Linked DNA regions of Oryctolagus cuniculus. The main gene of each other region encodes a partner of the protein of the gene in region 3 in a complex. Links are inferred from orthologs where the notes say so. Each region holds a gene or a part of one and is shown on either strand. Other genes may lie near its edges.

Region 1 (4,131 bases), on a different chromosome or scaffold from region 3:
GGCTGACATTCCACATCAGAGTGCTTGTTTGACTCCCATCTACTCTACTTCGAATCCAGCTTCCTGCTGCTGTGATTCTGGAAGGCAGCAGGTGATGGCTCAGGTACTGTGGCCACTGCCACCCATGTAAGAGACCCAAATGGCATTCTGGGCAACTGGCATCCGCCTGGCCTAGCCAAGCCTCAGCTGTTGTGGGCATGAGCGAACCATCAGATGGAAGATCTCTGTCTTTTTCTGTCACTCTGCCTTTCAAATAAATTTCAAATAAAAAAGACATACTGATGTGCAGTTTTAACATCACATGTAAACTGCTCGTATCTGTCCCAACCTTAATAAACAGGTATTCTTAAATCTGTGTTGTCTCATCTCTCAATACCCAGCTATATAGATATAAAGGAATCCGTACTGGGAGATAAAAAGCTATTCTCATGATGACTTTTAAATGTTGTCCTGGACTATCAGCAGTAGGAACAGATCTCCTTTCTTCATGCTGCTGTCTAAAAAGGGTAAAATCTGTCTACTGAGGGAGTGGGACAAAGCACTAACACATTATATTATCTTCATGCCATTGTATGTCTCACATTGTTCCTCACCTTCCTGCCCTGTTCACTGCCCTTAGTCCAAAGTCTCAACTTAGCCCCTACCCTCAGCACCTGTTTCAGTGCCCACAGTCAAAAGAACTCCTGCTTCTACTGTTGCAAAGGTAAGGGCCAGGAAAACGTGGAGGTATATTGTTTTGTCCTGAATTGAAACACTGATCATATTTGTTAGGAAACTGGTGCAGTTTTATCCATGGCGCTATCTACACCATGATTTACATCCTATGCCCCGGTTCTCACAGCCATTGCTGAAAGCCATGTAGCCACATGGCCCAACCACCAGTGTCAAGCTCCACCCCCATCCTAACGGGATTCGCTGCTCCTGTTTCCCTGCCCGCCCTCTGGCAAAGTTTAAAAGGGCCTGTTCCTGAACAGGCGGCACTCTTGGCTCTTCTCTCCTGTTCTCTTGGCTCCTCTCGTCTCTCTTCTCTCCTCACTAGCTCCTCTACTCTCCGTGTCTCTTTCTCTTATACTCTCCTCTCCCTTTTTCCCTTCATCACCTCACCCTTCCGGTCTGCTGGCTTTTCTCAATAAACCCTTTCCCTTACTCCGGAGTTTGGTGTGTTTTTGTGACAGCCTAACAGAAAGACATAACAATATTCCCTCACTTAAATTCTGTACAATTTAAAACACAATTATACGTTAAACTGGGGTTAGTATCTGTGATTCAAAAATTAAACTGAGGGGCTGGTGCTGTGGCGCAGCAGGTTAAAGCTCAGGCCTGAAGCGCTGGCATCCCATATGGGCACCGGTTCTAGTCCTGGCTGCTCCTCTTCCGATCCAGCTCTCTGCTATGGCCTGGGAAAGTAGTAGAAGATGGCACAAGTCCTTGGGCCCCTGCACCCGCATGGAAGAAGCTCCTGGCTCCTGGCTTCGGATCGGCACAGCTCCAGCCATTGCGGCCATCTGGGGAGTGAACCACAGGATGGAAGACCTACCTCTCTCTCTGACTCTGCCTCACTCTGTAACTCTTTCAAATAAAATAAAAATAAATCTTTTAAAAAAAGGCAAAAATTAAATTGAACTTTACTGGCAATTTTGAGAATATTATCCTTGCAAACATTTTCAGAATATAAATCTATTCCAAAGGACATGTCCAAAAGTTTGCATGATCTATAATAAAATCACTGTCAAATACTACTTACATTCTTTAGAAAAGAGTCTCTTTCTTTTACCCTGTCCACCTTCTGCACCTCCTCCAATTTCTTCATTTTCTTCCTCAAACTAGAAGTTAAAATGTATATATAGAAATGTCAAGTGATTGCATTGCATTTGATATTTTAATAACTTGCTTTCATTTTTAACACTAATATCAGGCCAAAACGCTTAAAAGCAAGCACTAAAAAATCATGATAACTTAGCACTAAAGAGCCCTTAGAGACTACCTAGTCAAAATTTCAATTCCCGCAAAAATGGTTTCTACACTGTCCACAACAATCCTGCCTAGACACGTAAGCCTTTTAACAGCCGCAAGTTCTTTTTGTTTAAAACCAACTAAGTTGGTCTACTGCTAGCCAGTGTTGCCATTCAAGGACCGATACTGAATCAAAGCCTACCTCCCTGCAGCAAAAAAGGAAAAATTTTAACTAAGCACCTGCTTATACAGTGCTAAAACCTTTCCTTATCTGTTTTAACCTTATTTTATATCAAGAACAACCGATGCTGAAAGTTAAATAACTTGTTCGGTGAGAATGGAGATTTTGAAATCCAGGCTTCTGATTTGTGGTCCGTTATTTCTCCAACACTTCACAATAAATATCCAATTCTGTTAGCAGCTAGATTGTTGGTTCATTTAACGAGCACCAACAAATACGAGTGATTAGCTCTGACGATCGTCTAGTTTCACAAAGTGTCTAGCAGATTCAGCCCGAATCCGAAGGGAAAGGGGCTACCTTCCCACTACTTCACGTCCTGCCCCGGAGTACTAAAACCATGAAGCTGAAGGAAAAGACAAGCACAACTGGTCCCCGAACTCTCTCGACTGAATTCACTAAGGAAAACACCCCATTCTGAACTCTGCTTCCGTCACTAAGCCTGAGCGAAAGGGAGGATTGGGACAAAGGCGGTCACTCACGGTGGGATCTTCTTCCTCATCTGCCATTACACTAGCCCGACAACCTACTGTGCCGCGCCGGCTCGCTCTCAGCGGGTTTTTACTACTTCCGTTGCGTCACTTCCGGTGACGTAGGGGGCGGGGCCGGGTCCCCGCAAACACGCCTGGGAGGGGGAGCTGCCTAGCGACCGCTGAGAGAGACGGTCTGTAGGGTAGCAGCGTGAGCTCTGGGTTCTGTAATCCCGAGGAAGGAACTAAAATTTAGCAAACTGAAAGAAATGCACCAGGCAGTGTGTATCCTCTTATCACCCTACATCTCCTTGTGCGTGTTGAATCCACCTTTCCTGACCTGGAGCGTAGGAGGGCGATCCCGCGGTCTTGCTCTGAGGGGTGTATTTTAAAGTGCAATGAGTTACGCCTGCACTATTGATCCCAAGCACTTTGTTAATTATTGTGGGGTACTATATTTCACTACTAGTTCTCAAGGGGGCGCTATCCTTAGAGACGATTTAAAATTTTCTGGAGAAGAATTTGGGTTTTAACAATGAGAACACGCAGTAAGAGGCTGGAGTTGACATAAAATATCCTGCAACCTAAGGGATGATGCCACACGATAAAAAAGTCCAATAATACACACGATTTCTCTATGTCCTGCTGAACATTCAATGACTGAAAATATTATTTTATATAAACTATTTTTCCCATGCTTTTAATGAACATTGGATTTCCTGTGACTGTTACTTCTTCAAAATTGGTGATCTGTTGCATTTTGCTTTGTTTGGAACTTATTAAGAGGAAATACTGCCACCAAAGGCAATATCGCTTGTAATTTAAATAGTGCTCACCTGGAATCTGCCTACATTTGTAGTTCCTACATTCGAGGTAAATTTACATCTAGGTACAAGCAACCACATTGTTATTATACCTCCTGTGTTGTCATGCCTGAGAATTTACGTGTTAAAAACATATTAATAGGCCGGCGCCGCGGCTCACTAGGCTAATCCTCCGCCTTGCGGCGCCGGCACACCGGGTTCTAGTCCCGGTCGGGGCGCCGGATTCTGTCCCGGTTGCCCCTCTTCCAGGCCAGCTCTCTGCTGTGGCCAGGGAGTGCAGTGGAGGATGGCCCAGGTGCTTGGGCCCTGCACCCCATGGGAGACCAGGAAAAGCACCTGGCTCCTGGCTCCTGCCATCGGACCGGTGCGGTGCGCCGGTCGCAGCGCGCCGGCCGCGGCGGCCATTGGAGGGTGAACCAACGGCAAAGGAAGACCTTTCTCTCTGTCTCTCTCTCTCACTGTCCACTCTGCCTGTCAAAAAAATAAATAAATAAAATAAAAAAAATAAAAAAAACATATTAATAGATTCTTTTATATTTATTTCTTATTTGGGCATTTTTTGATAAGTTCTCATTTTAGTTTCAGGATTTAACAATTTTCAGCATTTTGCCACATTGTATTTTTTAAAGATTTATTTATTTATTTG
Region 2 (3,306 bases), on a different chromosome or scaffold from region 3:
TGGCCCCCTGGAGAGCTCCCAAGCAGAAATAAACCCAGAAGCACGGTCCCCCTCCGGGCACTTTCATAATTAAAATACACACAGAACCACACAGTGGACAGCATGCTCTCCTTACGCCATTGATTTGGGAACTTTTAAATCCACTTTGTGGTTAGTTACAAATTCCTGCACCGACACCAGAATGGGTAACTCCTGGGGAACACGCGAGACGTTTCCCGAAGCAAAACGCTTTCTGCAAACATGCCCTGACCCCCGAAGTCTAGACGCTATCTCGGCGCTTGCCGGTCCGGTACAAATGCTGTCTCAGCAGGGGGAGGCTCTGTGACCTTCCTGCAATCGTTATCTCTTATTTTCAAACTAGGTCGGCAGGAAACTTCATTTTCACGCCCTAAAACAATTCCCCTGGATCCAGAGAACGAGTCCCGGCCGGAATCGCAGCGCCGCGACTGCGTCTGCGCGCGCTCGGGGCGGGCCGTCTTTCCGCCCGGCCGTGCTGTCACTCACGGCCGCTTCCCGCCCCGCGCCGTGACGCAGCGCGGCTTTAAAGCCAGCTCTGCAAGCGGCTGCAGGCAGACGCCTGCGGAGCCTCCGGTGTGTGGCTCTGCGCAGCGCGTCTCGGCGAAATTTCGCGCTTCCCGCCGGGACCGAAGCATTGGTAATCAGTAGCGGATCACTCAGCTGAGCAGCAGGAAGAACAAAGGAGTCGGCGAGAGAAGAGGCTCCCCGCCGCTTTGCAGCGAGTGGCTTCCTCCCCCCGCCGCCTGCGCCCGGCGCGAAGCTGAATTTATAACCGTCACTGGATTGTAAGTACCCGAGGCAAAGGCAGCTCGCTGCGTCCCGCTTTTTCAGTTATGCTTGTTTCGGGAGGGTTTGGGTCGGTGTTGACTGCTTGTCCTAATTTTGTGCCGTCTTCATTCTGCAGGAGCCGCCATTTGCTTTCCTGCTCGCTCGCTCGCCCGCTTGCTCTGTCTGCATTGTCTGGAGGCGGCACCTAGAGGCTGGAACTCGGCATTGCAGCTCCAGGCTTTAAATGGACTTAATTCTCTGAATAAGCCAGTGTGTCGGTAACAAACAGCGGGTGTGGAGTGCAGCATATTTAGAGAAAAGATTTGTGGCTTGATTAAAAATTAAGACAAAACAGATGCTTAGCTACTGTTCTGCATAGAACCTTCTGTTGTTAGATTTTAATTCATAAGGAACTGGTCTTTTAAATTGTTGCAGTAGCTGAAACTTTTCAGTGCAGCAAGTGTTTATTAGGAGAAGGGAGTCAGAAAGAAGTGAAGATGAGTAAGAGCAAAGATGATGCCCCTCATGAGCTGGAGAGCCAGTTTATCTTGCGCCTGCCTCCAGAATATGCTGCTACTGTGAGGAGGGCAGTGCAGTCGGGGCATGTCAACCTGAAAGACAGACTGACCATCGAGTTACACCCCGATGGGCGTCATGGAATTGTCAGAGTGGACCGGGTCCCTCTGGCCTCAAAACTGGTGGATCTGCCGTGTGTTATGGAAAGCTTGAAAACCATCGATAAAAAAACCTTTTACAAGACTGCTGATATCTGTCAGATGCTCGTGTCCACAGTTGATGGTGATCTTTATCCCCCTGTGGAGGAGCCAGTTGCTGCTGCTGACCCCAAAGCAAGCAAGAAAAAGGATAAGGACAAAGAGAAAAAGTTCGTCTGGAACCATGGAATTACTCTGCCTCTAAAGAATGTCAGAAAGAGAAGATTCCGGAAGACAGCAAAGAAAAAGTATATTGAGTCTCCAGACGTGGAGAAAGAAGTGAAGCGGTTGCTGAGTACAGATGCGGAAGCTGTCAGTACTCGCTGGGAGATAATTGCTGAAGATGAAACAAAAGAGACGGAGAATCAAGGCCTTGACATCTCTTCCCCAGGAATGTCTGGCCACAGGCAGGGCCAGGACTCCCTGGAGCACGATGAGCTTCGGGAGATATTCAATGACCTCAGCAGCAGCAGCGAGGATGAAGATGACACCCAGCACCAGGACGAAGAAGATATAAACATCATCGACACTGAGGAAGACCTGGAGAGACAGCTGCAGGACAAGCTGAATGAGTCAGATGAACAGCACCAAGAAAACGAAGGGACCAACCAGCTGGTTATGGGCATTCAGAAGCAGATTGACAACATGAAAGGCAAGCTCCAGGAGACCCAGGACAGGGCCAAGCGACAGGAGGATCTCATCATGAAGGTGGAAAACCTGGCTCTCAAGAACAGATTTCAGGCTGTGCTGGATGAGTTAAAACAAAAGGAAGACCGAGAAAAGGAGCAGCTCAGCTCTTTGCAGGAAGAGCTGGAGTCACTCCTAGAGAAGTAAGAAGAATTTTGATCATTTTGAACCTGATGGTTCCACACTAAGAAAATCTTCATCACTTTTTCTGGATTTTAAGATTTTGCAGTAGTTCCCGTTCCTTCTAATGCTAGAAGTTCTTTTTAAATTATCTTGTTTTCAAGAAGCACTTTGCTAGGTGTTCATTCTATAGAATTAGGATTGACTAGGCAGTAATGTAATTGTTAGGAAGTTGTAGGGTTAGTGGAATGAACAGCTGAACCCTAATATTCACAGCTGCATTGCAGGACTTTGCTGCTGTTTCCCCATTTCCCGGAAGCTGCTATTGCTGCCATGTGGTGCCTTCTGAGATAGGTAAGAACCTAGTGTAGAGGCAATGAAGTTGGTTTGCATATGTTTCCCTAACTATTTTCTCAGTTAAATCAAAGCAGTTTCACACATGTAGAGATGCAAATAATTTCATAAGGTTTCTAACATAAATAAAAGCGACTAATTTTCAACTTATGTGTCTTGATTTTTTCATTGGTAATAGGAGTCAGATAATCTTTTGAGGTGGTTTCTCGGTAGAGTTTAATGATTGGTCAGTTTGGTCCTGCTTTGCAGGTAAAGAAGCAGTTGTGGGTTAAAAAAAAAAAAAAAAAGGAACATAGCAGAAATTGGGAAATGTCATCTTTGCATTCTATTAAGGTTCTAATCCACCTGCTCCATCAGGAGGCTGGAAAACATGAGATACAGAGCCATTCTAAACTACTCTAGTATTTGTAGATGAAGGCCTGCTTTACCCTTTTTTTTTTTTTTTTTTTTTTGACAGGCAGAGTGGACAGTGAGAGAGAGAGAGAGAGAGAGAAAGGTCTTCCTTTGCCGTTGGTTCACCCTCCAATGGCCGCCGCTGCAGCCGGCGCACCGCGCTGATCCTGGCAGGAGCCAGGAGCCAGGTGCTTTTCCTGGTCTCCCATGGGGTGCAGGGCCCAAGCACCTGGGCCATCCTCCACTGCACTCC
Region 3 (3,500 bases):
CACCTGTCACCCCCTGGCCGCTGGGACCAGCACGGGTGTGGCCGGGCAGGGGCCGACCTGGCTGTCGCACCCTCGCGGACGCTGCAGCACGGCCCCGTCACGCAATCTGTCTCTCCCTAACAGATGACAAGACGTGAGCGCTGCCGTGATCCGGGCCGGTTCTGCGCAGTTCTCATCCAGAAGGCCAGAATCCACGCCTCCCGTCAGCCTGCCCGAGTCTGCCCCCACGTCTCTCTGCTCCACTTCCGATCCCCTTCCTTGACAGCAAGAAACCAAGGCCCCCGGCAGCTTCCACCTCCTGATTTCACAGGAGCCTAATCCCCCCACGCGGCCACCAACCCCCAAGCCAGGCTGCCCTCACCCTGCCTGGCTCCACCCGGCTCCCTGGCCTACCCCGCCCGGAAGCGTAGGGCACGTGTCTGGGAGGGGAAGGCCCAGGAGAACATGCAAGCACGAGGCTGCACACCCACCGCTCGGCCGAGGCCCCAGAATCCCCCCCACCCCGCGGCTGTGCAGGCAGCAGTGCGCCCCGGCGCCGACACCAGGGTGCAGCCCACCTCTCCGACTGCAAACACCACACTGCCAGGTATGAAAACAAATTTATTTTCTTTTTTAGATTGGCTGATTATTTGAAAGGCAAAGTTACAAAGAGGCAGAGGCAGAGAGGAGAGAGAGAGAGAGAGGTCTTCCATCCGCTGGTTCACTCCCCAGATGGCCACAACAGCCGGAGCTGCGCCAATCCAAAGCCAGGAGCCAGGAGCTTCTTCCAGGTCTCCCACACAGGTGCAGGGGCCAAGGACTTGGGCCATCTTTTTTTTTTTTTTTTTTTTTTTAGATTTATTTATTTATTTGAAAGTCAGAGTTATACAGAGAGAGGCAGAGAGAGAAAGAGAGAGGTCTTCCATCAGCTGGTTCACTCCGCAATTGGCCGCAATGGCCAGAGCTGGGCCAATCCAAAGCCAGGAGCCAGGAGCTTCCTCCAGGTCTCCCACGTGAGTGCAGGGGGCCAAGGACTTGGGCCATCTTCCACTGCTTTCCCAGGCCACAGCAGAGAGCTGGATCCAAAGTGGAGCAACCAGCACCCATATGGGATCCCGGCACTGCAGGTGGCGACTTTACCTGCTGCACCACAGCGCTGGCCCTGAAAGTGAATTTTCTACCAGTTCATATAAAAAAGCCACTTGGGGGTCCCGCGCTGTGGCATACCAGGTAAAGCCGCTGCCTACGATGTCGGCATCCCATGTGGGCACCAGTTCGACACCGGGCTGCTCCACTTCTGATACCGCTCCCTGCTAGGAAAGCAGCAGAGGACGGCACAAGTCCTTAGGCCCCTGAACCCACATAGAAGACCCGGATGAAGCTCCTGGCTCAGCCTGGCCTAGCCCTACTGCTGTAGCCACTTGGGGACTGAACCAGCAGATGAAAGTACGCGCGTATTCTCTCTCTCTCTCTCTCCCTCTCTCACGCTCTCTCTCTCTCCATCTCTTCCTCTGTGTAACTCTTTCAAATAAAATCAATCTTGAAATAAAAGCCACTGGGGGTGCGTTTGTGCTGCACGGAGCCACCACTTGTGACAGTGGGATCCCACGTCCAGCTGCTCCGCTTCCAATCCAGCTCCCTGCTACTGTGCCTAAGAAAGCAGCAGGTGACGGCCCAAGGACCTGGGGCCCTGCGTCCAACGTGGAAGACCTCGAGTGTTCCTGGCTCCTGGCTTCAGCCCAGCCCAACCATCACAGCCACGTGGGAAGTGAATCGAATTCACAGAATTTCTCCTTCTATCACTCCGCCTTCCAAGTAAATAAACAAACTTAAAAAAAAAAAAAAAAAAAGGCAATTCTCAGCCACATGGCATGCACAAAGCAAGCCCCCGAGGCTAACCGGGGGCACAGGCATGGCCCAAATCCAGCTGCCAGGTGCCCTGCACCGCTCCTCCCCTGGCCCACGCGGCAGGCCCGGTCCTTACCGGAAGGAGCCTCCCCCAGACTCCTTGAGCTTGTTTTTCTGAGCAGCAGCTGCCTGGGCCGAGACCGCAGAGAGAGCTTTGGTTCCAGGTAACACGGCGGGTTTCACCACGGGGACTACGAGACAAGACACGGCGATGACGCGAGGCCCTCGCGGCCCAGCGGGAGACGCTCCTCGCCCAGCGGGAGCTCTGGCTGAGTCTGAGCTACAGTTACAAGGTCATCTCCTGGACTCTGTGGGTGCAGAATCATCTAGGACAAACCAGCAGCGACCAATGCAAAGCGTCTGTAAAGGCGCCGAGAGCGGCACCGGCACCGGCACCGGCGCACGCGCTCCTCCGGGAGCTGGCGCTGCTCGACTCCTGCCCGGGCCTCACCTGGCTGCAGCTGGTTCAGCTGGATCTGCTGGGGCGTGGTCAGCATGATCCGGCTGTGAGGCTGCCGCAGGGCGACCATGGGCGTCTGCGTCAACGTCACCTGCGGGGGCCGGATCAGGGCTCCTGGCTTCGGGGGCTGCTGGATCACCTGAGGCAGAGCCGGGGAGGGCGGTGAACGCTCTGCTGCCGGGGCCGTGGGGTCCTGGTCCCCAGGAGAGCCCTTCCCCTCACGTGCACACGCCGCCCCAGGCGAGACCTGCAGGAGCACCCTGCACATGCAGCTCTGAGGGGCCAGGGCGGGGCGGCACCCCCGGCGGGCACCACAGCGAGCCTGGCGCATTCCCCGCCTGAGGCTGGGCCGGGGGCCGTGAGGGGACACGGTGTGACATGAGCTCAGAGGCTGCTCCCGGCCATCGTCGCCTGGCAGCCATGCGCTGTTTCCCCTCCTCTCATCCTGCGGGGCAGCGGGAGGAGTCCTGCCTTCAGGTGGCCCTAAAGCGCCCACATGGCCGGTTCCCCCCAGCCCTCCCCAGCTGTCTTCCCTGCCCTTCCAGGAGCTCCACTGCCCACTGCCTTGAGTCCTGGACCCTGCCCTAGGACAGAGACCCTGACCCCCACTGAAAACCACACGGCTCAGCTCCACACAGCCCGACCTCAACCCACGGAGCCTGGCGTCTCAGAGAACCGCCTGTCTCACCGAGGCGCCTGGCGGGGACACCTGGCACCAGGGCGCTGGCAGAGGAGCCGCGGGCAGCCCGGGCTTTGCTCTGCCGCTAGGGCTGTGCGTCACTCAGCGCACGGCCCTCAGCACTTGCAGCGGGCAGCGAGGCCCAGACGCGCACCCCGGTGCCGGGGTCAGAGCCTCGCGAGAAACCCGACTCCCAGCAAGCAGCTGGTGGACACGCTCGCCTCCGTGCCGCGCGCACAGGCTGCTCCGGCCAGCGCTGCCCTCAGCGTTAGGCGCCGCCAGCTGCCGCCCCCCACCACCCCGTGCAGAGGCCTCAGCGCTCCGGGGCCCACACTTCCTCCCCACGTGCCCCACCCTGCTCCCCTCACTCTCCATCAACAGCAGAAACCTGGGAGACTTTCAGCTGGGAGACAAGGCCCGCGGGCACTGGGTCCCGCGTACGGTGCGGCCTCTCGTGGGGCCTAGGAGCCCACA
Region 4 (3,500 bases), on a different chromosome or scaffold from region 3:
ATACTCAGAGGAAGCTCTGGTTCTAAAAGTTCATTTCCATGTAATATGCAGGCCCTGGTATATATTCTGGATCTTAGCCAACACAATGTTCTAATTAGTGCTGTGCCTCAGAATCACCAGCTGGCTCCTAAGATCTGCATACATTACAGAAATCATACTCTATGTCAATAATGTGATCAAGAAATTCAGGGTGAAATTTAAAGATCACTATTCATTTTTACACTTATACATTGAAATTGTTACATATAAATAACTCATATTACAAAACAAGAATGAATAAAGAAAAACAATGCTTTGTCATTTACAGAGACTGAACAAAATATTTTTCAGCCAACAGCTCAAAAACGCAATCATTTCAGAAGCATTGCTTTTGAAATTCAATAATGATACATATGACACTTCCTCTTTAAAACATTTTATGATAAAAATAAAAGTAGGCTCTCCTAAACTCTGAAAACAAAGCATACGCACCACGTAAGTGCTGACCGTCTCTGTCACCACGCTGCGCACGGGAGCTTTGGAGCTTCCTGCTCCGGACATGGCGGGGGCTGGAGAAGGCATCAGAGCTGGGCATGCAGTGGCCTGGGTGAGGAGTGGCAATGGCATGGGGGTGGGGTTCACGTGCACAGGTACAGGGGCTGGGGCTGGTGGTGGGGTTTTAGGTCTATTCAGAGAAGGAGTCGGCTTAGCCTCGGGGGTTGGAACAACTTTGCTGATGACACTGTTAACAAAACAGAGAAACAGAAAAGTCAAAATGGGCTAATCAGATCAAACCACATACTTGAAGACAATATCACCAAATAACTTTCTTCTAGTAGTAAAACACCCCTTTAGGAGCCCAGAGATAGCTAACAAACTCACCAGTTCAAGGTTCTTCATCAACTAACTTCTCAATTTAGAGTTTTTAATTTTCCAAAATTGCCCCCAATGTCTACATACTTAAGACTTTTTAGCAACCGGTACACCCGGCTTGTTCATTGAAATGTAACAGCGGGCCGCTTCCTGCAGAGGATAGCATGTGCCTCTCTGTCGCCTTTCAGCTCCGGAATGCGGCTTCTGTGGCTGATGAAAGGTGAGCGAGGTGTGCCACTTCTCAGAAGCAGCTTGGGGAACCATCCCGAAAGCAAGCTTTCCCCTCCCTCTGCTCCACGTCCTTTAATGACCCACATGGAAAAGACTGCTCTTTCCACTCAAATTCCAGGATGAAAAAGATGCGGAATGGAGCCAGGGCCCATGCAGCGCAGCGCGGGAGGGAGACATAAACATTGGTTGTGGGAGGTGGCAAGCTTTCTGAGTTGTTAATTACCACAATGCAAGCCAGTCTAAACTGGTGGACATTGTGGCTGAAAACAGAGGTTAACATTTATCTCTTAATTCCAATGAATGAATACCCTCAATGTCATTGAAGACATTTTCAGTTCTGGTTTTGTCTGATGGCCGGTATTGAAGATGTTAAGATCCTCAGAAGGGCTGCGGAGACACGGTGAGTGGCAGGAGGGAGGGATGGTTTCCTCAGAGTACAACAGCCGCTGTAGCTCCTTTCCAGTCATGCTACCAACTAATAACTAGAGCTACATGACGGTGATCCTCTTCATTAACAATATCTTCTTCATGTAACTCCTATGAAGTGGAAGGAGTACTGGACTCAGACTTAGGCTACGTGAGTTGAATGCAAATCCTGCAACTGCCACAGATTTGCTAATTGTGACAGATTCTGGGTAAGTCATTAGAAAACCTACTACAGTCACGTGCTGTGACATTTCAACTGTCAACTGCATAGATGATGGTGGCCCCAGAGAATGCCACCTAGTGATGTTGTAGCTGCCACAGTTGACAGCAAAAACCACTCAACAATATGTTTCCTTGAATGTATCCCCATGGTTAAGAGGTGAGGCATTACACTCGGCCCTTGACATGATCATCTTATCCAGTCCTCTCAAGAACTTCAAAGATGTTATGATTACCTAATTTTATAGATGAGGAAACTGAAGATCAGAGAAATAGAGGAATTTGAGGAAATGGGTGACAGGTTTTGAACTAAGGCCTAATTCCAATGTTCTTTCTTTCTTTCTTTTTTTTTTTTTTTGACAGGCAGAGTGGACAGTGAGAGAGAGAGACAGAGAGAAAGGTCTTCCTTTTGCCGTTGATTCACCCTCCAGTGGCTGCCACGGCCAGTGTGCTGCGGCCTGTGCACTGCGCTGATCCGAAGGCAGGAGCCAGGTGCTTCTCCTGGTCTCCCATGCGGGTGCAGAGCCCAAGCACTTGGGCCATCCTCCACTGCACTCCCGGGCCACAGCAGAGAGCTGGACTGGAAGAGGAGCAACCGGGACTGAATCTGGTGCCCCGACCGGGACTAGAACCCGATGTGCTGGCACCACAGGCGGAGGATTAGCCTATTGAGCTGTGGCACCGGCCTCCAATGTTCTTCTTTAAAAAAAGTTTCTTTATTAAAAAACTATGCATCATTGGGGCCGGTGCTATGGTATAGCAGATTAAGCCTCTCTGCCTGTGGTGCCAGCAATCCCATATGGGCTGTTCTACTTCCGATCCAGCTTTCTGCTAATGGCCTGGGAAAGCAGTGAAGGATGGCCCACCCACTTGGGCCCCTGCACCCATGTGGGAGACCCAGAAGCTCCTGGCTCCTGGCTTTGGATAGGCCAGCTCTGGCTGTTGCGACCATCTGGGGAGTGAACCAGGGGGTGAAGACCTCTCTGTAACTCTGCCTCTCAAATAATATTAAAAAAAACTATGTATCATTTCAAGCATAGAGAAAACGATATAACACACACTGAGGTATAGAGATAAACAATGATAGTCTTTTGTCATGCTGCTTAAGATGAATCTCTCTCTCACACCCCTGCTCCAGAAGCAACCACTGTCTTAAAATTAGCAGGTATGTTTTTGTAGTTTTGTTTTTTGCAGATGTCCATAAACATTAAATATGTTGTTATTATTTGATGTGCTTTAGCTTCTATATAAATATCACACTTTATTTATCCTTTGCAACTAGCTTTTCCCACTCAGTTTTATGTCTTGATTCACCCATGCTGACACATACAGATCTATATTATTTAATTGCTATATAGTATTCCAGGGTAAGAGTAAGTATATCCTTTTTTGTCCACGCAACTGAAGGTAGGACACAATCACTTGTAAATGTTGCATATTAATATGTAAAACATATTCAAGAATTTCCCTAAGCTCCATTCCCAGAAATAAAGTTGCAGGGCCATAGAATATGACCATCCTCATCTTCACTAAATGACTGAAACAGCCTCTTGCTTTTTACTATTCCACATTTATCTTCCTTGGCCTTGTTCCCTGACCAGCAAGGTGGACACACACACAGCTGCCTCACGGGGTTCAGTGGGAACTTCCATATGGAGAGCCACTTGAAACCATGAGCAGGCTTCAGGTGTTTGCTCCGGCATCACATGCATGCCTGTGGGTCCTGACAAGCCCTGCTGCCAGCCTGCATAGTTCCACAATCTCAAAATTCT
Region 5 (2,549 bases), on a different chromosome or scaffold from region 3:
CGTGACACTGAATGATAGAGAAGAATGAATTCCAGGGGTTTGCCAACTATATACAGTCGCCTTATATCTGCTAATCACTGTCAATAAATGGTCAATGATGGTCAATCAATGGTCACTCCATTCCCCTCTGTTTGAGGAAAACAATGAGAATGTATCTAATGAACTGGAATTCTGGTCAGTATTGGAAAATTTTAATGTTGCAATAGCTAATCAAGCTGAGTGTACTGGTTCTGTGAACCACCTGAAAAAAAGCAAATTAAACTTATTAAACAATAATGGTGTGATATATCTGCTTTACTGGAATCTGGAAATATATGGGCTTTTACAGTGTTTTGAGCAGTGTTTGGAATGCTCTTTTGTGACTTCTTAACAGTTATAGTAGAAAGTGGGAAGGACTAAAATTTTCACAAAAAAGCCAAGAGCAGTTTCATTTGGGGGCCAAAAATGAACGCTGAACTTCTCTATTCAAATCAACCATAAAGAAAATGAGTACACAGATGGCAAGTTGGAAAAGAGTTTACTGATCACTCACCACAATCCACAGAAAAATCTTAAGTGTTTACAATCACAAATCACTCCACTAACTGCTATCACCGTGTCCTTCCTGGTAGAGTGTCACAAGTCAGAAGTTTCCAGTTGTTTCATCTACATAAACCAGATGTGAGAAACAACCTAAGTCCCAGCAACTTTAGGCTTCAATGTGAAACCGCCCAAGCTCTCTTGGGAATGTTCTCTCGCAGAAGGCAGCTTTCCAGCCCAGAAGATTGGTAAGGCCATGCGCTGTTGTTCTCCAGCTAGCCCAAAGACATCTCAACACCTCAAAATGCTCAAGACGTCCCAGAATTTAGTCATGGCAGGTGTGAAGCAGGCTGCATGCCTTGTAGGTGTGGCGAGAAAGACATTAAAATTGTCAGGGAATCCTTGGAGGACTGAGGTACGAAAGCACCAGTGCAGAAAGTCTCAGTAACAGAAAGGCTGGAGCCAGGATGTCTTCCGTCGGTAACTGATCTTTCTAGGCTTTGGTCTAGAAGAAGATGATTTTTTTGTGCTTCGAATTGGGGATTTGCCCCTTTGATTTTAACCTCCGAACAGCCTCCCTCATATGTTTGGGTTGTAGTGGTGGCATTTCTCCCCACTTCTCACACACGTCCAGTGCTAAACAGGGCAAAGAGAGTTTCTTTATCACACAAGGACTTATTAGTCACACAATCTTTTTGAATCCTGGAATTCTTGTTAACTCTTCCCAGCTTGTAACAAAATAAATCATGCCTCTTCCCTTCTAAAGAGAATGCTATACAATGTGTCATGTTAGTTTTAGTATAATGTCCCACACAGGGCTTTATTCCAGGCAACAGTTTAACACATATTCACTGCTTAAAAAAGATTTTACCAGCTGGGTGAAATCAGCTAGACTTTTCACTGGACAGGCAGGGCAGTCCCCAGAGGCGCACAACGTCAGTGACAACTCCCCACCATCCCAGCTGGTCAGCCCTGGTGGTTGCTTTCTCTCCATCTTTAATTTTGGCAGCAACAACGAGCAGGTCCACTAGACAAAAATATAAAATCTGCTTCTACTACTCTGGGCTGAGGACAGGAATCAGGGAGGGGGATTTCCTAGATAGTTCTTACCCCCGAGTATGGAAACTTTCCAGGAATAATGCTCTATTGACTATAGGGCTACATACCTGGTCAACTTCTAGTACAAGTGGAAATTCCCACAGATGCTTAATACAGTCCTTAGCAGAGAGATTCTTGAAAACAAGATCATTACAGGTACAGTACTTGTACCCAGCACCACTTACCTTCTTCTACCACCTCCCCGACGAAGACCTTGGAAATACCAGACATGGCAATAACAACATTCTGAGACACTGAGGTGCCTGTGATAGACTGAATCAGCTTGAAAGAAGAACAAAAATTCTGTGATTAAGACAGTCAAAGACTGACATTAGCACATAGCACCAACAAATGAGCTTTGCGCTGGAAAAGTGTTTACTAATGGCTACGGGCTAAGACTATTAAAACAAGGACTCGGGTGTACAATGACTTACTTTATATGTTGAGATACCGTCACTGGCTTACAGAAGTGGCACTGATCAAATAATCGAGCTCATGTTATTTTTGTTTTCCTAGATAATATACTAGCTTGCCTAAAAAGTCATTTCAACATGCAAGTGGACACGGCTCTTGAGTCTGGATCACTTCCAATTTAAGATGGAAATGAAGTGTGGTGGTCCATCCTTACCCTTTTAATGGCTGCCTTCGGGAAAGCTGACCGGCGATACATTTCGTAACGGTTCAGCTGCTCCTCAGAAAAAGATGAAACCAGGATTCTAGACAAAGATTTGGGTAATTAAGTTGGTTTATAAAATTAAGTGCTAGATAGTTAAGTCAATAAAAGCAAGGCTGAGATAGCAAATGACCCTCAGGTAATCAATGGCCCCAGGCCTGGTGCTTGAGGAATGGAGATAAAAACATTTCTGCTTGAGAAAACATGAATCACAAACTTACTTTCGTCATTTAGGACAAGAACAACAATGTTGTTCCAT
Region 6 (4,300 bases), on a different chromosome or scaffold from region 3:
CCTCCCTGTGGCCCGCCCGCGCCCACTCACCACCCGGCGCTGGCGAGGTCCAGCAGGGCGGCGCACAGAGGGCCCCGAGACGGCACGGCCCCGGCTCCCCAGCTCTGGGGCAGCCGTTGTCATCACGCGGGGAAAGCCCTCCCTCGGGACTCCCCTGCCTCCTAGGATGAGCCGGGGCGCACGGGCAATGCGCCGGGCTGGCCAGATTCCAGACAAGCCACATGCTTGTCCCATTCTACTCAAACCTCGACTCCCACGGCCCCTCGAGGCCCGGCCCCTCCTGTGATGGTTCGGCTGCCTTCAGCCCGCCCCGCCTGCGACCCCCGACTCCCGCTGAGCCTCACCCAGGACCTGCTGCTGAAGTCGGGGCCTCTGGCCTGGCGTGCTCCTCCCTCCACCTCCCCGACGCGGCCCTGTCCTTGTCCCGTGCGTGGGCTCCCACGGAACCAGCGCAGGATCTGGCCACACCCCAGCCTCGAGGGTCCTGAGTGCTGAGCCCGGGCGGCAGGCCCAGGCTCGGGAACCCCACAGCCCGCAGCCACCCGGCTCCAGCACCTACGAAGTCCCGGGACCGGAGCCGGCACTGCGGTGCACGGAGCACAGCGGCCGCCTGCGACGCCAGCACTCCATCAGGGCCCTGGTTCAGTCCCGCGGCCCCACTTCCCATCAGCTCCCTGCTGTGGCCTGGGAAAGCGGCGAGGACGGGAGACCCGGAAGCAGCTCCCGGCTTCGGCCTGACCCCGCCTGGCCACTGCAGCCACTTGGGGAGTGAACCAGCAGACGGAGGACCCAACTCTGCCCTTCAAAAAATAAAAGCAAAATCTTCCTTAAAATGTTCCAAGATAAACATAATAAAAAATTACCAAAAAATAGTTCAAAGATAAATAGAATTAAAAATCACGAAAAGGTTCAAAGAGAAATAGAATTTAAAATAAAAAAAAAAAAAAGCCACGGGCTCCTGGACAGGCGCCGGCTCGGAGCTGTGGCCCAGCGAGACCCCGCCCCCCGCGCGGGCGGAACCACGCGGCTCCAGCCGCAGACTGGAGGCCCAGAGGGGTGAGGCAGCTCGCCCAGCAGCACAGCCAGAGGCCAGAGCCGCGCCGGCACCACCCGCGGCCTGGCCGGCCGGCGCCGCACCACGCAGGCCCTGGCAGCCGCGCCCCAGGGCCCTCCCTGCCCTCACCTGGACGGCTCCCCAGGCGCCACACGGCACGCAGGCTCCGCCTCCCCAGCCCTGTCCGTGTCGGACCGGTTGGTCCAAAGGCCCAGCCCAGGGCTGCTGAGGCCCCGCGAGGCCCACGGGGAGCTCAGCCAACAGCTCCAGCGCCCGCGTGCGGGCGTGCGGGCGGGCGGGCAGCGCACCGGGCACGCAGCAAGGGCAGGCCGAACGCAGGCGGTGTGCGACACGGGCCGTCGGGGACCCCGCCAGGGGCGCGGCAGGGCCGGGCTGTCAGCAGGGGCATCGGCAGGCTAGCGCCTGGACCTGTCCTGGAAAGGCGCGCCCGGGGTGGGTGTCCGTTCACGGTGGGGGTGCTGAGCGACGGGTGTTGTGAGCGACCGGTGGAGCCGTGACAGGTGGAGCCGTGAGTGACAGGTGGGAGTCCTGAGTGACGGGTGGGAGTCCTGAGTGAGGGGTGCAGTCGTGAGTGACAGGTGCAGTCGTGAGTGACAGGTGGGAGTCCTGAGTGACAGGTGCAGTCGTGAGTGACAGGTGCAGTCGTGAGTGACAGGTGGGAGTCCTGAGTGACAGGTGGGAGTCCCGAGACGGGTGGGAGTCCTGACGGGCGTGTCGTGAGTGACGGGTGGACTCCCGAGTGGCGGTGTCGCTGAGACACGCGGGCGAGGCTGTAAGAAAGGCGGGCTGGGCCGAGGGCCGGCGTTCGCCGTCGGCACAGAGCAGAGCCCGGCGCGGGGCAGTGAGACGGGGCTCCGGGGGGAAGGGCCGGCCCAGCGCCCACCGTCAGCCGGAGGAGCCGGAGACCCCAGGGCTGCGCACAGAGACGCAGGCAGCCCCTGCTCACCGCACGGAGAGGCGCAGGACGCGGGGGACGCGGGGCGGTGGGTGCCCCTTCCCGGCTCGGGCGTGGGGGCGGGGGGCCGGGAGACCCCCGAGGAGCCGGCCCGGGCTCTCCCCGCCGGCCCGGGCGCGTCCAGTGCAGCTCCACCTCCCGAGCGCCCGGCGGCGGGCCCAGGCCCGGAGCCGGCGGGGCAGCACACGGGCCGGCCCACGCCCTCGCAGGACGCACCTGCGGCCGCCCCGCGCTGGCCCGCGGGGACCCGGGCGGGGGCTGCTCACCCAGTTTCCGAAGCCGAACTGCTCGATGGCGTCCAGCAGCAGCTGCTCCTCGCGGCTGGTCCAGCCGCCCTCGGCCTCCGGCCCCCAGAGCGTGAAGCGCCCGCCGTCCACCAGCTGGTAGCCGTGGTAGCGGCGGTGGTGGCCGATCTCGGCGCCGGCCGAGAAGCACTCGGGGCACAGCTCGATGTCCTGGCACTCGGTGCAGCGGAAGCGCAGCGGGCTCACCTCGGCCAGGCAGTACACGCAGTACTTCTTGCCCAGCTCCGCCATCTTCGCCCGCTCGCCGCCCGCCGCCGCCGCCGCCGCCGCGCCGCCGGCCGTCAGCGCCGGGCCGCCCGCGGGGCCCGCCGCCCCGGCCGCGCACGAGCCGCCGCCGCCCGCCGCCGCCACCGCGGCCGCCGCCGCCCAGGCGCCGCCCCGCCGCCGGCCCGCCGGGCCGCGGCCCGCCTCCGCTCGCAGGCGCCCCGGCCCGGCCCGGCCGCCGCCGCCGCCGCCGCCGCCGCCGCCACAGCCGTCGCCCCGCCGCACCGCGCAGGCGCCCCGCGCGGGGACCCGGCCCGCCGCTCTGCGCCTGCGCGCCGCGCGCGCCGGCCGCCGCCTGCCCCCGAGCCTGCGCGGCGCCCCGCCCCCGGCCTGGCGGTGGGAGAGGGGCGGGCGGGGAGGGAGGCGGAGCGCCACGCCCCTCGCGGCGCCGGCCTACGCCCGCTCCCAATCGGTTCCGTGCCTCTCCCGCTCGCGGCTCGCTATTGGCCAGCGCTTTCAGGGGGCGGGGCTGAGGGGGCGTGGCGTCGAGCCGCTGGCGGGCCAATCGGCGGGCCCACCGCGCGCGCCCTTGGTTGCCCCGGGAAACCTAACAGCCTGCGGCCGAGGTCCGCTGCCCTGGCCGAGCCGGTCGGAGATGGACGACCACACGGAGCACAGGGTCAGCACCATGGAGGAAAGCGGAGACGAGGCAGGCCTGGCCTGGCGCCCATCCGACATCGAGGCCAGCTCCGGCCCCCGGGCTCCGGGTGAACCTGCGGAGCAGGAGCCGAGGCCGGAGACGGAGGAGGAGGGGGAGGGTGAAGAGGAGAAGGAGGAAGAGGAGGAGGAGGAGGACAAGGAGAAGGAGAAAGAGGCGGCAGAGGCCCCCGAGCGAGGCGCCCCCGTGGACGAGCAGGCCGAGGCCGCGGAAGGGCCGGAGGCCCCGGAGGCCGCGGGCGAGGAGGGGCCCCTGGAGCCGGGGAGGCTGTCCACGGTCGGGGCTGAGGAGCCGGCCAAGCGGGCATCGGAGGCCCGGCCAGAGGCGGCGGAGGAAGAGGAGGCGGCGGCGGCGGCGGCGGGGGAGGAGAGGAGGGCCCCGTCCCGCGCCTCCCTGCGGGCGTCCACGGCGAGCGAGGCTGCGCCCGGGCCGCCGGCCGAGGCGGCGACCGCGCAGGCCGAGGCGGCGGCGCAGGAGCGGGCGGGCGACTACGAGGACCTGGAGTGGTCGGCCGAGGTGCAGCAGCAGCAGGAGCGCCAGCTGCGCAGCGAGCTCCTGGAGCAGTACCGCGCGCTGCTGGCCGAGCGCGGCCGCTACCAGCGCTGCAACCTGCACCTGCAGCACCGCATCGCCGAGGCGCTGCGCAGGAAGAAGGGGCTGGAGGCGGGCGAGGCGCCCGACAGGGCCGCGGAGGCCGAGGCGCCCGAGAAGGAGCAGGCGTACGTGCGGCACCTGGCCGTGCTGGAGGAGCTGCGGAAGCAGGAGGCCGACGACCTGGAGTGGTACCACCAGGAGCTGGCGCAGCTGCAGCGGCAGGCCGGCGAGAGGCTGGCCAGGGCGGAGCGCGAGTGGCGCCGCTTCCAGGCGCTCAAGCGGCAGGTGGTGCTGCAGGCCATGGGCAGCGGGCGGCTGCGGGGCGGCCGCCAGGCGGCCGTGCGCGAGGTGGAGCAGCTGCAGGCGCTGGAGGAGAGGAAGGAGCGCGAGATGCGCGCCGTGCGCCTGGAGAACGTGCAGCTGCGGCAGAGCCTGGCGCACTTCGAGAC
Region 7 (4,033 bases), on a different chromosome or scaffold from region 3:
CCAATGCTGGACCACAAATGAAGTGAAAGAGAACATTTTAAATATGCAGATGAGAATGTTAACTCAGGAATAAGTTTTTTCTATCTTGAATATCTATGCTTCTGTGAAAACACATTTTAGTTCTCCTTGAATATTATACTACATATGTACCCAAATCAGTTATAGTCCTTTTTTTATGTTAATATTTTTAAAAATATGGAATGCTTCATGAATTTGTGTGTCATCCTTGCACAGGGGCCATGCTAATCTCTATCATTCCAATTTTAGTATATGTGCTGCCAGAGCGAGCACAATATAGTCCTTGATATTAACAAAATTTAGAAGGAAGGTGTTGGAGTTTGTGGCATAATGAGTTAAGTCACACTTACAATGCAGAAATCCCATAGCAGAGTGCAAGTTTGAGCTCTGGTCTATCCATTTCTGATCCAGCTCCCTGCTAATGCACCTGACAAACAGAGGAAGATAGGCCTCTGTCTCCCATATGGGAGACTGGGATGGAGTTACTGGCTCCTGGCTTCTGCCTGGCCCAGCACTGGCCACTGCAGCTATTTGGGGAGTGAACTAGCAGACGGAAGATCTCTTTCTGTCACTCTGGCTTATAAATGAATAAGTTTTTTTTTTTTTTTTTAAGGAAAGTGCTTTCATTCAATAATATGCTTGTATCACTATTACTTCTGTTTTGTTGATGGGCAAATCAAGACATGAAGAATCCATTTAGAAAAGTAGAAGCTGTAGAGACACACAGAATTGGGGCTGGCTCATTCAGTCCTATTCAATTTCAGGCAAAATGCTTAACCTCTCTGAACCTAGTTCTTTATCTGTACAATGGGACTAACAATATCTAATTTGTGGGGCTGTAATAATTAAGTGACACAGTAGGTGAAAAGTGCTTAAATGGTACCTGGTTAGTCTGAGTAGGTTTCAGTAAAAGAAAAAAAAATACTATTATTAAAAAGGAGAAGTAACTGGTCAAGTCTCCACACCATCCTTATTTAAAAACAGCCATCCCTTGTGGTGCAGTGGGTTAACTTGTCACCTGCAAAGCCAACATCCATTATGAATGCTGGTTCAAGTCCCAGCTGCTCCACTGCCAATCCAGCTCCCTGCTAATGCGCCTAGGAAAACAGGAGAAGATGGCCAAAGTGCTTGGGCCTCTGCCACTCATTTGGGAAATCCAGAGGGAGCTCTGGGCTCCTGGCTTCTGCCGGGTCCGGCCTTGGCAGTTATGGCCATTTGGGGAGTGAACCAGTAGATGGAAGATCTCTCTCTCTCTCTCTCTCCCTTTCTGTAACTCTTTCAAATAAATAAATCTTTAAAATAAACAAACACAGCCATTCCTAGTAAATATTTTTGCTATAAATGTAGGGCACAATTTTCTAGATAGCTTATTTTAAAATAAATAAATAACATTAGGTTTCATTTAAAAGTTTTCTTACTGGTGACATTCACTGTTTCAATGTCAACACACTAAGACTCAAAATAAAGCATTAGAATCTATCAGAATCTTCCTCCTGAGTCTGAAGAGAGAACAAAGATTCTAGAAGCACTTTCCAAGGAACATTAACCAAGCGTCTCCTATTTACCGTCCACAGGATACTTGATCAAAATTATGCTCTAAGTAACCACTGTCTCACTGTGACTCTAATCCCTCTTTGGACTTCGGGTCCCTTAAATGTAAACTAGGCGTTGGAAAGAGATGGTCTTTTGGGGCTCTTCCATCTCTGATATTCTTTTATTTGAGATACAGAGCTCTGTGCTCCGTCAGGGTTTAGTGGAAAGAAATTTAAAGCACTTATCAAGTATACAACTGGGTTCAAAGTGTTTTCAACTTCACATCCGATTCGCAAGAATGAAGCAGAAAATGAAGATGCTTCTATGTGGGCTTCCAAGATTAAGTATCTGACACACACAAGCCTGCCAAAAGCCAAGCAGGCAGCGCGAAGGAGGACTCCTCCTCCCCTGAAAATAGAAATGTATACAGAATACATATATCCATCCCTGTATCCTTTAGCACTCTGGGTCAGAGACTACTTGCAAACGGATCACTCTCTTTCCCCAGTCCTCTCTCTTTCCCTTGAAGGCTGATCGCTTACACCCACAGCCGCTTCGATTCTCCGCTTTTAAGGAACTCGGATCCTCACAGCCCCGTTCCTTCCGAAACTTGGAGTCTCAAAGCCCGGATCGCGTGCCCACAGAAGCCCCAAGTCTTCTCCGCCAGCTTCGGCCCCTCAGGAAGCTAAGTCTTCGCAGCCCACCCCGGGTCTTCACGGTCCCGCTCCTGCCTCCTAGGAGCCCGAGTCCTCACTACTCCACTTTCACCTCGCCGGAGCCCGTGTCTTCACGCGCCACTCCGTTCCGACCCTTTCTCCTCTCAGGAGCGCGGGTCCTCACAACCCTGTCCCTCTCAAACCTCTCTCCCTTAGGTGCCAGGGAACTCGCATCCGTCCCCGTCTCCTAAGTCCCGTCGGCAGCCCGGACCCTCACAGCCGCGTCTCCTCCGAGCGCGATCCCCTTAGTCCCGTCCCAGGAGCCGGATTCCTCACAGCCCCGTCTCCTCCACAGCCTGGTCCTTCAAACAGTGACCCACTGTGGGTCTGGGTCCTGACTCCCTCCTCCCGCTCTTCTTCCTCTACTGCCAGGGCCCAACACTCACAGGCAGCAGCGTCTATCTCCCCATGATATGCGGAGACTGCCCCAGTGAAGCGTTCGTCTCAGCAGCCGGTCCGACTGCGCGGCCCTCCCCGAGTACTTCCGGCACCGCTCCCCGCCTCCAACCCGGAAACGCGCGGCTCTTCCGGCCGGCGGGCGCGCGCCTGGCTTGCGCAGGCGCACACCGTCCTCCGACATGCGGTCGCGGTGCAGGGCTGGAGCTCAGCTTCGGTGGCCGCCGTTTTTCCCGCGTGCGGTTGTCTGGCAGCGTGGGCGAACGCTGTGTCTTCTGCCCTGGCGTTTCGAACCCTGCCCTAGGTGTTGCTTCCAGACACTGTTTGTATCACCCGGTAGCATCATCGATAACTGATGCCCTTGGATGGCTGTGAGGTCGCCATTTTTGGTTAATGCCTTTGTCGTGGCATCAGGACGGGGGTGTCACCTGGGACTGCAGCATGCTGTGTGTATTTTTTTGGACTCTTGCCGAGGAGTTGGCAACACAGTAACCTGGAGACGACAGACCGGTTCTGCCTGTGAATTTGCAGTGAAGCGCTTATTTTCCGCTAGCAAACAGTGCTAAGCCCCTACCTCCCATATGTCATTTAATTATCTAGAGGGAGCCCGTGAGAGATTAAGCCGGGGTCTGGCTGATAAGGTCAGAGCCTTAACTTGAACTCAGAACTCCCTCAAGCTTGGATGCCTTCAGTTCTTTCCTCTGCCAAATACTTTATGAGAACTGCTGTATTTTTGCTAGTTGTAAGTTTGTAAGCAAGACCTGGTTCCGGCATCCGTGGGTTCAGAGTAAGACGCGTGCGTGCGCGTGCATACACACACACAGGGCTGTGGCAGGAAGGGCTGCCAAGACCGGTGCAGCAACCTGCCCTCTTTGTCTTCCTGTCTCCCACCCTCATCCCACTACACTGCCGCTGGGTTTACAGTAAGAGCTTCGTCACATTAGGCTTTCGGCTGTCTGCCTCGCGTTGTTTCCCTGTCTGCTACATTCATTCTTTTTAGGGTCTGGCATATCAGTTTTTGTTGTTGAACTGTACATCTTTTCAAGGCCCAGTTTGAATGTATGTTCATTCAGCAAATGAGGCTGACGTGGCTCAACAGGTTAAGCCGCCCGTGGCGCTGGTTCTAGTCCCAGCTGCTCCACTAATAATCCAGATCCCTACTAGTGTGCCTGAGAAAGCAGCAAAAGATGCTGCTCTCCTTGGGGCCCTGCACCCGCATGGGAGAGCCAAATGCCAGATGGAGTTCCAGGCTCCTGGCTTTGGCCTGGCCCAGCCCCGCTGCTGCAGCCATGTGGGGGTGAAGCAGCGGATGAAAGATCCCTCTCTCTCCTTCTCTAACTCTGCTTTTCAAATGAAATCTTAAGTTTGTT

The links.
Region 1: TAF4 (region 3) and TAF13 share a complex: the UniProt entries of both Homo sapiens proteins name them as parts of the TFIID basal transcription factor complex. The link is inferred for Oryctolagus cuniculus from reciprocal best matches to the Homo sapiens genes TAF4 and TAF13.
Region 2: TAF4 (region 3) and TAF7 share a complex: the UniProt entries of both Homo sapiens proteins name them as parts of the TFIID basal transcription factor complex. The link is inferred for Oryctolagus cuniculus from reciprocal best matches to the Homo sapiens genes TAF4 and TAF7.
Region 4: TAF4 (region 3) and TAF3 share a complex: the UniProt entries of both Homo sapiens proteins name them as parts of the TFIID basal transcription factor complex. The link is inferred for Oryctolagus cuniculus from reciprocal best matches to the Homo sapiens genes TAF4 and TAF3.
Region 5: TAF4 (region 3) and TAF11 share a complex: the UniProt entries of both Homo sapiens proteins name them as parts of the TFIID basal transcription factor complex. The link is inferred for Oryctolagus cuniculus from reciprocal best matches to the Homo sapiens genes TAF4 and TAF11.
Region 6: TAF4 (region 3) and TADA2B share a complex: the UniProt entries of both Homo sapiens proteins name them as parts of the TFTC-HAT complex. The link is inferred for Oryctolagus cuniculus from reciprocal best matches to the Homo sapiens genes TAF4 and TADA2B.
Region 7: the proteins of TAF4 (region 3) and TAF12 are in contact, whole or in part, in a crystal structure (PDB 1H3O), measured with the Homo sapiens proteins. The link is inferred for Oryctolagus cuniculus from reciprocal best matches to the Homo sapiens genes TAF4 and TAF12. Residues at the interface, in NP_003176.2 of Homo sapiens: Phe872, Leu873, Leu874, Pro877, Leu878, Arg880, Arg881, Ile882, Ile885, Gly886, His889, Gly890, Ile891, Thr892, Glu893, Leu894, His895, Asp897, Val898, Tyr901, Val902, His904, Ala905, Thr906, Gln907, Gln908, Arg909, Leu910, Gln911, Leu913; in NP_001128690.1 of Homo sapiens: Val57, Leu58, Thr59, Lys62, Leu63, Leu66, Val67, Glu69, Val70, Glu74, Met83, Leu84, Ile87, Ala88, Asp89, Phe91, Ile92, Glu93, Val96, Thr97, Cys100, Ala103, Arg104, Ser108, Ser109, Thr110, Leu111, Glu112, Val113, Lys114.

What each region holds. Positions count from the first base shown.
Region 1 is NC_091438.1:61,355,567-61,359,697, reverse strand, and holds the start of TAF13 (transcription initiation factor TFIID subunit 13), read right to left. Parts: upstream 2,801-4,131; 5' UTR 2,701-2,800; coding exon 2,674-2,700; intron 1,824-2,673; coding exon 1,745-1,823; intron 1-1,744. UniProt on the Homo sapiens protein: The TFIID basal transcription factor complex plays a major role in the initiation of RNA polymerase II (Pol II)-dependent transcription.
Region 2 is NC_091437.1:28,859,471-28,862,776, reverse strand, and holds TAF7 (transcription initiation factor TFIID subunit 7), read left to right. Parts: upstream 1-1,283; coding exon 1,284-2,333; 3' UTR 2,334-2,806; downstream 2,807-3,306. UniProt on the Homo sapiens protein: The TFIID basal transcription factor complex plays a major role in the initiation of RNA polymerase II (Pol II)-dependent transcription.
Region 3 is NC_091442.1:1,313,606-1,317,105, reverse strand, and holds part of TAF4 (transcription initiation factor TFIID subunit 4), read right to left. Parts: intron 2,487-3,500; coding exon 2,339-2,486; intron 2,079-2,338; coding exon 1,964-2,078; intron 1-1,963. UniProt on the Homo sapiens protein: The TFIID basal transcription factor complex plays a major role in the initiation of RNA polymerase II (Pol II)-dependent transcription.
Region 4 is NC_091444.1:75,261,815-75,265,314, forward strand, and holds part of TAF3 (transcription initiation factor TFIID subunit 3), read right to left. Parts: intron 722-3,500; coding exon 472-721; intron 1-471. UniProt on the Homo sapiens protein: The TFIID basal transcription factor complex plays a major role in the initiation of RNA polymerase II (Pol II)-dependent transcription.
Region 5 is NC_091436.1:134,556,532-134,559,080, reverse strand, and holds the end of TAF11 (transcription initiation factor TFIID subunit 11), read right to left. Parts: intron 2,334-2,549; coding exon 2,246-2,333; intron 1,900-2,245; coding exon 1,803-1,899; intron 1,156-1,802; coding exon 1,025-1,155; 3' UTR 501-1,024; downstream 1-500. UniProt on the Homo sapiens protein: The TFIID basal transcription factor complex plays a major role in the initiation of RNA polymerase II (Pol II)-dependent transcription.
Region 6 is NC_091433.1:3,121,707-3,126,006, forward strand, and holds the start of TADA2B (transcriptional adapter 2-beta), read right to left. Parts: upstream 2,801-4,300; 5' UTR 2,567-2,800; coding exon 2,297-2,566; intron 1-2,296. Other genes in the region: CFAP184 (cilia- and flagella-associated protein 184), read left to right, coding at 3,195-4,300. UniProt on the Homo sapiens protein: Coactivates PAX5-dependent transcription together with either SMARCA4 or GCN5L2.
Region 7 is NC_091438.1:143,057,361-143,061,393, reverse strand, and holds the start of TAF12 (transcription initiation factor TFIID subunit 12), read right to left. Parts: upstream 2,801-4,033; 5' UTR 2,654-2,800; intron 292-2,653; exon of another isoform or gene 190-291; intron 1-189. UniProt on the Homo sapiens protein: The TFIID basal transcription factor complex plays a major role in the initiation of RNA polymerase II (Pol II)-dependent transcription.